2 linked regions of the Bombyx mori genome follow. The protein of the gene in region 2 purifies or fractionates together with the protein of the main gene of each other region. This does not show direct contact. Links are inferred from orthologs where the notes say so. Each region holds a gene or a part of one and is shown on either strand. Other genes may lie near its edges. The genes, in order: thioredoxin-like protein; apoptosis-inducing factor 1, mitochondrial.

What was found.
Region 1: the proteins of apoptosis-inducing factor 1, mitochondrial (region 2) and thioredoxin-like protein purify together in Homo sapiens (affinity purification with mass spectrometry; 3 studies listed by BioGRID and IntAct, with this or other methods). This does not show direct contact. The link is inferred for Bombyx mori from reciprocal best matches to the Homo sapiens genes AIFM1 and TXN.

Annotation. Positions count from the first base shown.
Region 1 is NC_085130.1:3,051,966-3,056,575, forward strand, and holds the start of thioredoxin-like protein, read right to left. Parts: upstream 3,003-4,610; coding exon 2,832-3,002; intron 1-2,831. UniProt on the Homo sapiens protein: Participates in various redox reactions through the reversible oxidation of its active center dithiol to a disulfide and catalyzes dithiol-disulfide exchange reactions.
Region 2 is NC_085120.1:1,553,802-1,557,628, reverse strand, and holds part of apoptosis-inducing factor 1, mitochondrial, read left to right. Parts: intron 1-350; coding exon 351-505; intron 506-1,407; coding exon 1,408-1,547; intron 1,548-3,827. UniProt on the Homo sapiens protein: Functions both as NADH oxidoreductase and as regulator of apoptosis.

The sequences.
Region 1 (4,610 bases), on a different chromosome or scaffold from region 2:
AAGTCAAATGAAATTACTTGTTAGTTCAACGCTGAGAGAATTTGCTAGTATAGTCTTTTTAGAAGAACCCGAGAAACTTTTCTAAAGATTCTGATTAATTTCTACATACTTCTACATATTTTTTTTTATTGCTGAGATGGGTCGACGAGCTCACAGCCCACCTGGTGTTAGGTGGTTACTGGAGCCCATAGACATCTACAACGCAAATGCGCCACCCACCTTGAGATATAAGTTCTAAATCATTTCTATTGGATTCACAAAAACTAATTTAATTTATAGTATTTATAGGAACTAGTTTTATCCTTGCTTTTGAAAACCTCCTTTTATTAAAGTTATTTTTATTTATTTTTTATGTACAAGTGTAAATGTTGTGCTGCTTGTCAGTATTAGTAATAGTATTATCGTGCTTTATTTTATTTTATTTGTTGTTTCGTTGTGGGCTGCCTACGGGGTGTTGTTACTGTGTGCTTATTATGTTATATATGTATGTATTCGGGTTCAATATTTAATTTGATTTTTGTTTTGTTTTTTTCTTAAATTTTTATAATTTACTAGTTTTACTAATTTATACCATATTCTAAGTATGTACACACGTAATTAGCCTTCATTCCCGCAAAGAACCAAGGGGAAACGGGGGTGACTGAAAATCAGCGCTGTTCGATTTATCAACCTCGAACAGCAATAGCTGAGCCACCTCCTTTTGCCTTTTTCTCTTTTTTTTCTTTTCTTTTATTTGTATTTCATTTTATTTTCTGTGATGTGAAAGGCAATAAATGATTTTTATTATTTTTATTTTATTATTATTATTATAAGGTCTCAGTATAGTTACAACGGCTACCCCACCCTTCAAACCGAAGCGCATTACTGCTTCACGGCAGAAATAGGCGGGGCGGTGGTACCTACCCGTGCGGACTCACAAGAGGTCCTAACACCAGTGATTATGCAAATTATAATTTTGCGGGTTTGATTTTTATTACACGATGTTATTCCTTCACCGTGGAAGTCAATCGTGAACATTTGTTGAGTACGTATTTCATTAGAAAAATTGGTACCCGCCTGCGGGATTCGAACATCGGTGCATCGCTACATACGAATGCACCGGACGTCTTATCCTTTAGGCCACGACGACTTTCAAAGATACGAAACTGTTAATAATGTTAATTGAATGTACTTCGACAAATAAGTTTATTTCTTAAGTTACATATTGTAGTGATTCTCATGCGGTCGCGTGCAATCGACGTTTTCGTGATAACAACCAAACTATATTTACAATCTTACTAAATTATCGCGGCATTATTGATAACGTTTAAGTGAACATTACAATTCTGATAACATTTATTGCTGGGTTTTTTTTTAGAAACATTTTATTTTTATATATATATAAACTATGTAATATCAAAGCAAGCAGTTGCCGATTTAAAATATTTTGATTTAAATTATTGACAGCATCGCACACAAGTATTGTACGAAGATTTTTAAATTCGACAATCCAATTATTATTATTTTTATTGCTTAGTTGAGTGGACGAGCTCGCAGCCCATCTGATGTTAAGTGGTTACTGGAGCCCATAGACATCCACAACGTAAATGCGCCACCCACCTTGAGATATAAGTTCTAAGGTCTCAAGTATAGTTACAACGGCTGCCCCACCCTTCAAACCGAAACGCATTACTGCTTCACGGCAGAAATAGGCGGGGAGGTGGTACCTACCCGCGCGGACTCTCAAGAGGTCCTACCACCAGTGAGGTGAATTTGTAGGTAAATCCTTTTAGACTTGATTAAGTTAGAGGTCTTTCAAATTTCTCAGTTGTCGTCAGTTGTGTTCAAGATATTATTGAAATTATTGAAATAGAAATCATCTTAACTTTCGTATAATAATTGTTTTTGAGATTTGTTACCGAGTTAGATAGCGTGAATGCTATCACAATGACAACATATAAACTATTACGTAGGCTTTAGTATATTAAGAATGATATGTAGATATAAGACGCGTTGCTTTACATACAAGTGTTTTGAAGAAAAGGTTTATTTTTAATGAACACCCGTTTATTTCAATTTACGATTCGGGCATGGTTATAAAGATAACTAGAATATTTACAAGTCCTCGGTAAGAGCTCTAGAATGAAAAAGATACTATTATCTAGTCTAGCTTAGTCTGAGCCGCTGAGTTTCTCGCCGGATCTTCTCAATGGGTCGCGATTCCGATCCGGTGGTAGATTTAGCGAAGGACTGCTCTAATTAGGGCTTTTAGCAAAAAAAAATTTATTGCTTAGATTGGTGGACGAGCTCACAGCCCACCTGGTGTTCAGTGGTTACTGGAGCCCATAGACATCTACAACGTAAATGCGCCACCCACTTTGAGATATAAGTTCTAAGGTCTCAGTATAGTTACAACGGCTGCTCCACCCTTCAAACCGAAACGCATGACTGCTTCACGGCAGAAATAGACAGGGCGGTGGTACCTACCCGCGCGGACTCACAAGAGGTCCTACCACCAGTAATTACTCAAATTATAATTTTGCGGGTTTGATTTTTATTACACGATGTTATTCCTTCACCGTGGAAGTCAATCGTGAACATTTGTTGAGTACGTATTTCATTAGAACAATTGGTACGGACGTCTTATCCTTTAGGCCACGACTTCAAACGACGACTTATCAGTGGGTCGCGATTCCGATCCGGTGGTAGATTCAGCGAAGCACTGTTCTTATTAGGGCTGTTAGCAAATTCCTCAAGTTGTGCCCGTGAGGCTCACCTGCCCGTCCGCGCGTAGCTGAAATAAGATCCTTAGGCTACCAGCAAATAGATAGGTAGAAAAAAAAAGGACTCGCCTTCACAACGACGATGGAATCTGACATTTCGGCGGCGATCTCGTCCAGTTTAGGCCCGATCATCTTGCACGGTCCGCACCAGGTCGCCATGAAGTCGATCACGACGAGCTTGTCGCCTGCTTCCGCCAGCCTTGTCTTCAGGTCGTCGGAATCTTTGATGTGAATGGACATCTTGGGCTGTGGACAAGCGACGTTAAAACTATATAGTTAAGCCGAGATCTTTTTAAACTACATATAGAGATGTGAAGGGGTTATCTATACTAATATTATAAAGAGGAAAAATTTGTTTGTTTGTGTTGAATAGGCTCCGAAACTACTGAAGCGATTTGAAAAATTATTTCACTGTTTGGAAGCTACACTAATCCCGAGTTACATAAGCTATAATGTTTTTTGATTAGGGATCCTTACTAAAACTCCAATAATGTAACCCAAGGAGTAAAAAGATTACCTAAAATTTTCTTTACATCGCGTGCCCTGCGACAACTATTGATGATAGAAAAAAATAATATACTACGACTTTGTAGAACACATTATTATTTACAAAAAGTGTCGCGACAGCATATGTCTAACTATTATAGTTATGCCGTAATAAGTGTGCTTTTATTTAAAAAAATAAAACAACGTCAAATATCATCGAAATCTTTGTCAAAGACCCGAGCGGAGCCGGAACGGGCCGCTAGTTTGGTATAAGCGCGTCATTTTTGCAACTTTCGAGCCATTTAAAAATTTAACATTTCGAAAAAAAACTTCAGCAATTTGAATGGAGTAAGCTTAATTGAAGTTCAATTAAAAAACATCGAACTTTTTGATACTAATACCAAATAAAACGGATCTTTTGGTTACAACCACCCCCTCACCCGATACACCCCTCGATATTGTTTTTTAAGTTTCGAATACTTCAAACTTTTCATTTTCACTAACGTATATGGGAGCAATGACTGTAGTGGAAATGAGGCACGTTAGGACACGCGGAGAAAATATGTGAGTGGATAAAAGTACGTATTACAGGATAATCACTCAAAACTAGGTGGTCCGTGAACTCGTCCACTGAAGAAAACTAATAGGGATTCACTAAAGAGTACTAAGATATTAGGTTAATTGTAAAATTAACTATATGCTTTAAAAATTATACGTTTATTAATTTATTAAATCATTTTGTAGTCTGGTCGTTCGTTTGACTTGGCTTTTCGTCTTCACTATAAGAACTGCTCGCTCAGATGTTACGATAAAATAGCAGCCATATCTATATATTAATACGTGAAGCAAAAACTTTGTATTCCTTTTTATGAAAATTGCGCGGACGGAGGAGTATGAAATTCCCCACACTTATAGAGAATATAGAGAAGAAATGCACAATGCTAATATATTTTTAAAATAATGCATAAAAGATACATTTAATCAATAAAGAAAACATTACACACACTACATACCATGTATTTGACGCACACACGCATGCATACTATTTATTGTCAAACTTTTGTTCTTGGCGTCTGTTGTCAAATTGAGAATAGATTAAACATTGTCTTTGTTAATATTTTTTATAGTGTAGTCTTGGCGAAATTTGTGATTATAGAAGTATAAAATACAATCATAATAGTGTACAAACTTACAATTCCAATTAATTATAGTCGAATTTCGACTACTGCGGGACCTCTAGTATTTACTAATACACAATCACGACATTAACCAAAATTCCAATTCGACGTCTTAAACAATACGTTCTATTGCCAAAGTCATTATCCGTGTGAACGTAAACACAACAAAAAAACCGGTTATATT
Region 2 (3,827 bases):
AGTTTGCCTGGGAAACATTCTCAGATGTTAGTCAGTCTCCAGTTAGTTATCTATACTAATATATAAATCTACAGTGGTTTTTACGGATGTTCCGTTATAACTATTGAACCATGTATCCGATTGACTCGAAACTTGGTATCCATGTAGGAAAATACATGTACTTAATGGATAGGGTAATATTTATATGAGTGTTGGCCTCCCTACACCAGCTGCGGGGGCGTTAATGATGGGAATCTTTGTGGGGTTGAAAAATAATAATGTTAATTTTAAATGCCCAGCGAAGCGGACTGGTACAGATAGTTTGTCATGTAATTTTTGTTTTATTTCACGATACAATTTTTCCAAAACAGAAGATGCACCAAAAAAGAATGTTGGGCCAGTACGGACACCCATCCCGGCGTCTGCGGATCAGCTCCCGCGACACGTACAGTTCCTGCTGGTCGGTGCTGGTACTGCCTCGTTTGCAGCCATGAGGGCGATACGCAGTCAAAAACCCGACGCCCAGGTAAAAAATATTCGTTATTTAAATTCAAAATTTCAAAACTCGAAGTCGTCGTGGCCTAAAGGATAAGATGTCCGGTGCCATGTTGAGCGATGCAACGGTCGGTGTTAGAATCCCAGGCGGGTATATCCTTATCCTTATCCTTTAGGCCACGACGACTTCTAATGTTTATTCTAATCATTGAAAACACAGGGTGACTAAGGGTCGATTCGACCAAACAAGAGTAAATCTTATTCTTAGAATAACTCGTCAGTTAATCGAGAGTAAATCAATTTTACGTTTTACCAACTACAATTCTAAGAATAGTGGGCCTATTCGGGAATTGTTACTATACCGCCGTTTCGCACGGAATAACGGAGCTATTCCTAGAATAAAGTAATGGCGTCTGTCAGTCCAACATCTGATTTCTGTCATTTCATAAATATTTATTCTGTTTTAATTTCAAGTCAACGCAATGCACTAAATGATTATTAATAGTCTGAATGCAACGTTTAAACGAAAAAAGATAAAACCACACGACAAAACTTGACAATTCCCTCAAACAAACAAGAAATAAAAATAATACGTTTGACAGCTGGATATCTTACACAACAGCTACTTTTTCACACTAAAATACGGCAAAATCGAGTTGACGATTTGTATGCTCTTACACTATGCCGTTGAACAACAACATTTATTTGCCGGATTTTATTTTTGTTCACCATTCACTCTGCTATTCGCTTATTGTTATTCCTAGCGCAACTATACGTGGAAAAACGACTATGAATTTACTCGAGATTAAAATCATGGAATAGGTTATTCCTCGTATAGTTACTCGAGTTTAAATTTAAGTTTGGTCGAATCCGCCCTAAGTGCTAGAATTAGAGTGGTGGAACCTATATAACAGTATGTCTGTGCCGGGTCAGGTGCTGATGGTGGGTTCGGAGTACCAGCTGCCGTACATGCGGCCTCCGCTCACCAAGGAGCTGTGGCGGGAGCCAGACCTGGACAAAGTCACAGACCTCGACTCCTTGACCTTTAAACAGTGGAACGGCAGGGTGAGAAGGTAAGTAAGGTACTTTAATTATTAGATAATGAACTTTGATTTGCTGAAATTAAAAGCGGTCTTTTTTTTAATGCTCTTGTAGGCAGACGAGCATACGGACCGCCTGGTGGTGGGTGGTTACCGTCTTTAGCAATGCTAGGGGTTGAGCCAAACCGCTGCCTACTGTTAAATCTTAACTCGTAAGTGAATGTCTTAAGTGAACATGAGATACAGATATTATTTTCTGTTGATTATATAATCTCTTTTTATTTTTTTCTTCTAATCATATCTAATCATATCTATCATTCTAATCATAATTTCACCATCGTAACATGAACTATTAAATTTTTTGTGAGTCTTTTTTTATTTTATTGCATATATGGGTGGACGAGCTCACAGCCCACCTGGTGTTAAGTGGTTACTGGAGCCCATAGACATCTACAACATAAATGCGCCACCCTCCTTGAGATATCTAAGGTCTCAAGTATAGGTACAGCGGCTGCCCCACCCTTCAAACCGAAACGCATTACTACTTCACGGCAGAAATAGGCAGGGTGGTGGTACCTACCCGCGTGGGCTCACAAAAGGTCCTACCACCAGTAAAGTCTCGCTAGGGCAATTCCAGTTTTGTCGAATTTATTATATTCGGTGCTAGCTGGTGCTGCCGACTCGGTATTGATGGTGGCACGGCACCAGTGGGGGCCGCTAGAGAAAGTGGTAGTTTTCCAATTACAGAGCATAATGCGACTCAGTGGCGCACAATGCCGAATTATGCTGAAGCTTAATTGGAACGTGAATTAGTTTTCAAATGCATCAGCAGAGTGCGCTAAGTTCAGTGTTGAAAAAAAATATTCATGGAGTTTTCAACCTCATTAATGTATAAATAATGTGGTAAACAATAATAATTGGTTCAAAACGATTTACGGTTATTTTAAGTAATTTGGATTTTTATTATTTCATTAAAATTTTTTTGTTGATATCGGCCACTACAGACAACGCTACACCATGCTTACTTTCATTTTCTGGGCCTGAGAAGTACACAGTATGGCCTTTTGGGGTAGTATAAAAGCCCGATCCTCTCATATGTGTTTCCGTAATTCCCAATATTTTCAAGTTGTAGTGTGCTTGCTCTTTGTCTAAGATCTCTCGTTTTCCGGGTTGGAGCATGCCTCGGACATTCCAGGTTCCAATTTTCATCTTCTTGCGAAGTTGTGCTCGTTGATCCGCTGTTCTGTCACCAGTAACATTCTGTCCGCACTGTGCCTGGTGAGCCGCAGCAGGGTGGCCAGTAACATATTTCACACCGTGTGACCTGGACTCGACACGGCGCCGGGTGGTAGCCGGATCGCATACAATCTCATTCTGTACTTGGTCCACTTTCATAGGATTACTTGGGAAAACTAGCGCAGTGGTTTCCCCTTGCCTTCTGCGCCGCAGTGATGTTGGTTGTGGTAGTCAGTACGCCCTGCTGCCAACGACTGACCTCCGGTGTAAAGTATCTATAAATGACCGGAGTCCCCCTCTCCTCCCGTCTGCTTGTCGACCTACGTTTCCAAAGGGATTGGATACCGCAATCTCAACGATAGGTTACTCGACGTAACAGGGTTCACCGCGAGTAGGTGGGAGTGGAGATTGGAGTGGAGAGGCTAGGTGGTTATTCTTGTTATATAACCATATATTACGCATCACACATCCTAGAACCCAACATTAGTCTCAAACTAAAGAGGTGTAAACGAACATCTCTTTCGACGCAGAGGAGGCTCGACCGCGGTGAACTGGCAATTTTCAGGGAACGTTTCGACATCAAATCGGCCAACACTATTATGGACCATAATGACATTGACGAAAACTGGAACAGATTAAAGGCCCTAATCCTATCGTCGCGTAATGATTCCCAGAAGAAATCGGCAGATGCTCCGAGGAAAGAGTGGATAACAGAGGAGACGTGGAAGGCTATCAGAGAGCGAAAGGAACTACTCATAGGCAATGTCGAATCTGCTATTACAGATTACCGCGAAGCCTCGGCAAGAGTTCAACTGCTCTGCCGTAGGGACTATAATGATTACCTTAACTCAATCTGTCAGGATATTGAAGATCATGCGCAGAAGTTTCAAACCCGAGACATATTTTTGAAAATCAAAAACATCACGAGAGAGTTTAAGGCAAAAACATGGGCTATAGAGACTGAGGAGGGCAAGCTATTGAGTGAGATAGATGAGATAACGGAGAGGTGGCGATCGTATTGCGAAAAATTGTATGCCGTTCCTGCAGGACAGGATGGAGAATCCCGAGTGCTAGAAA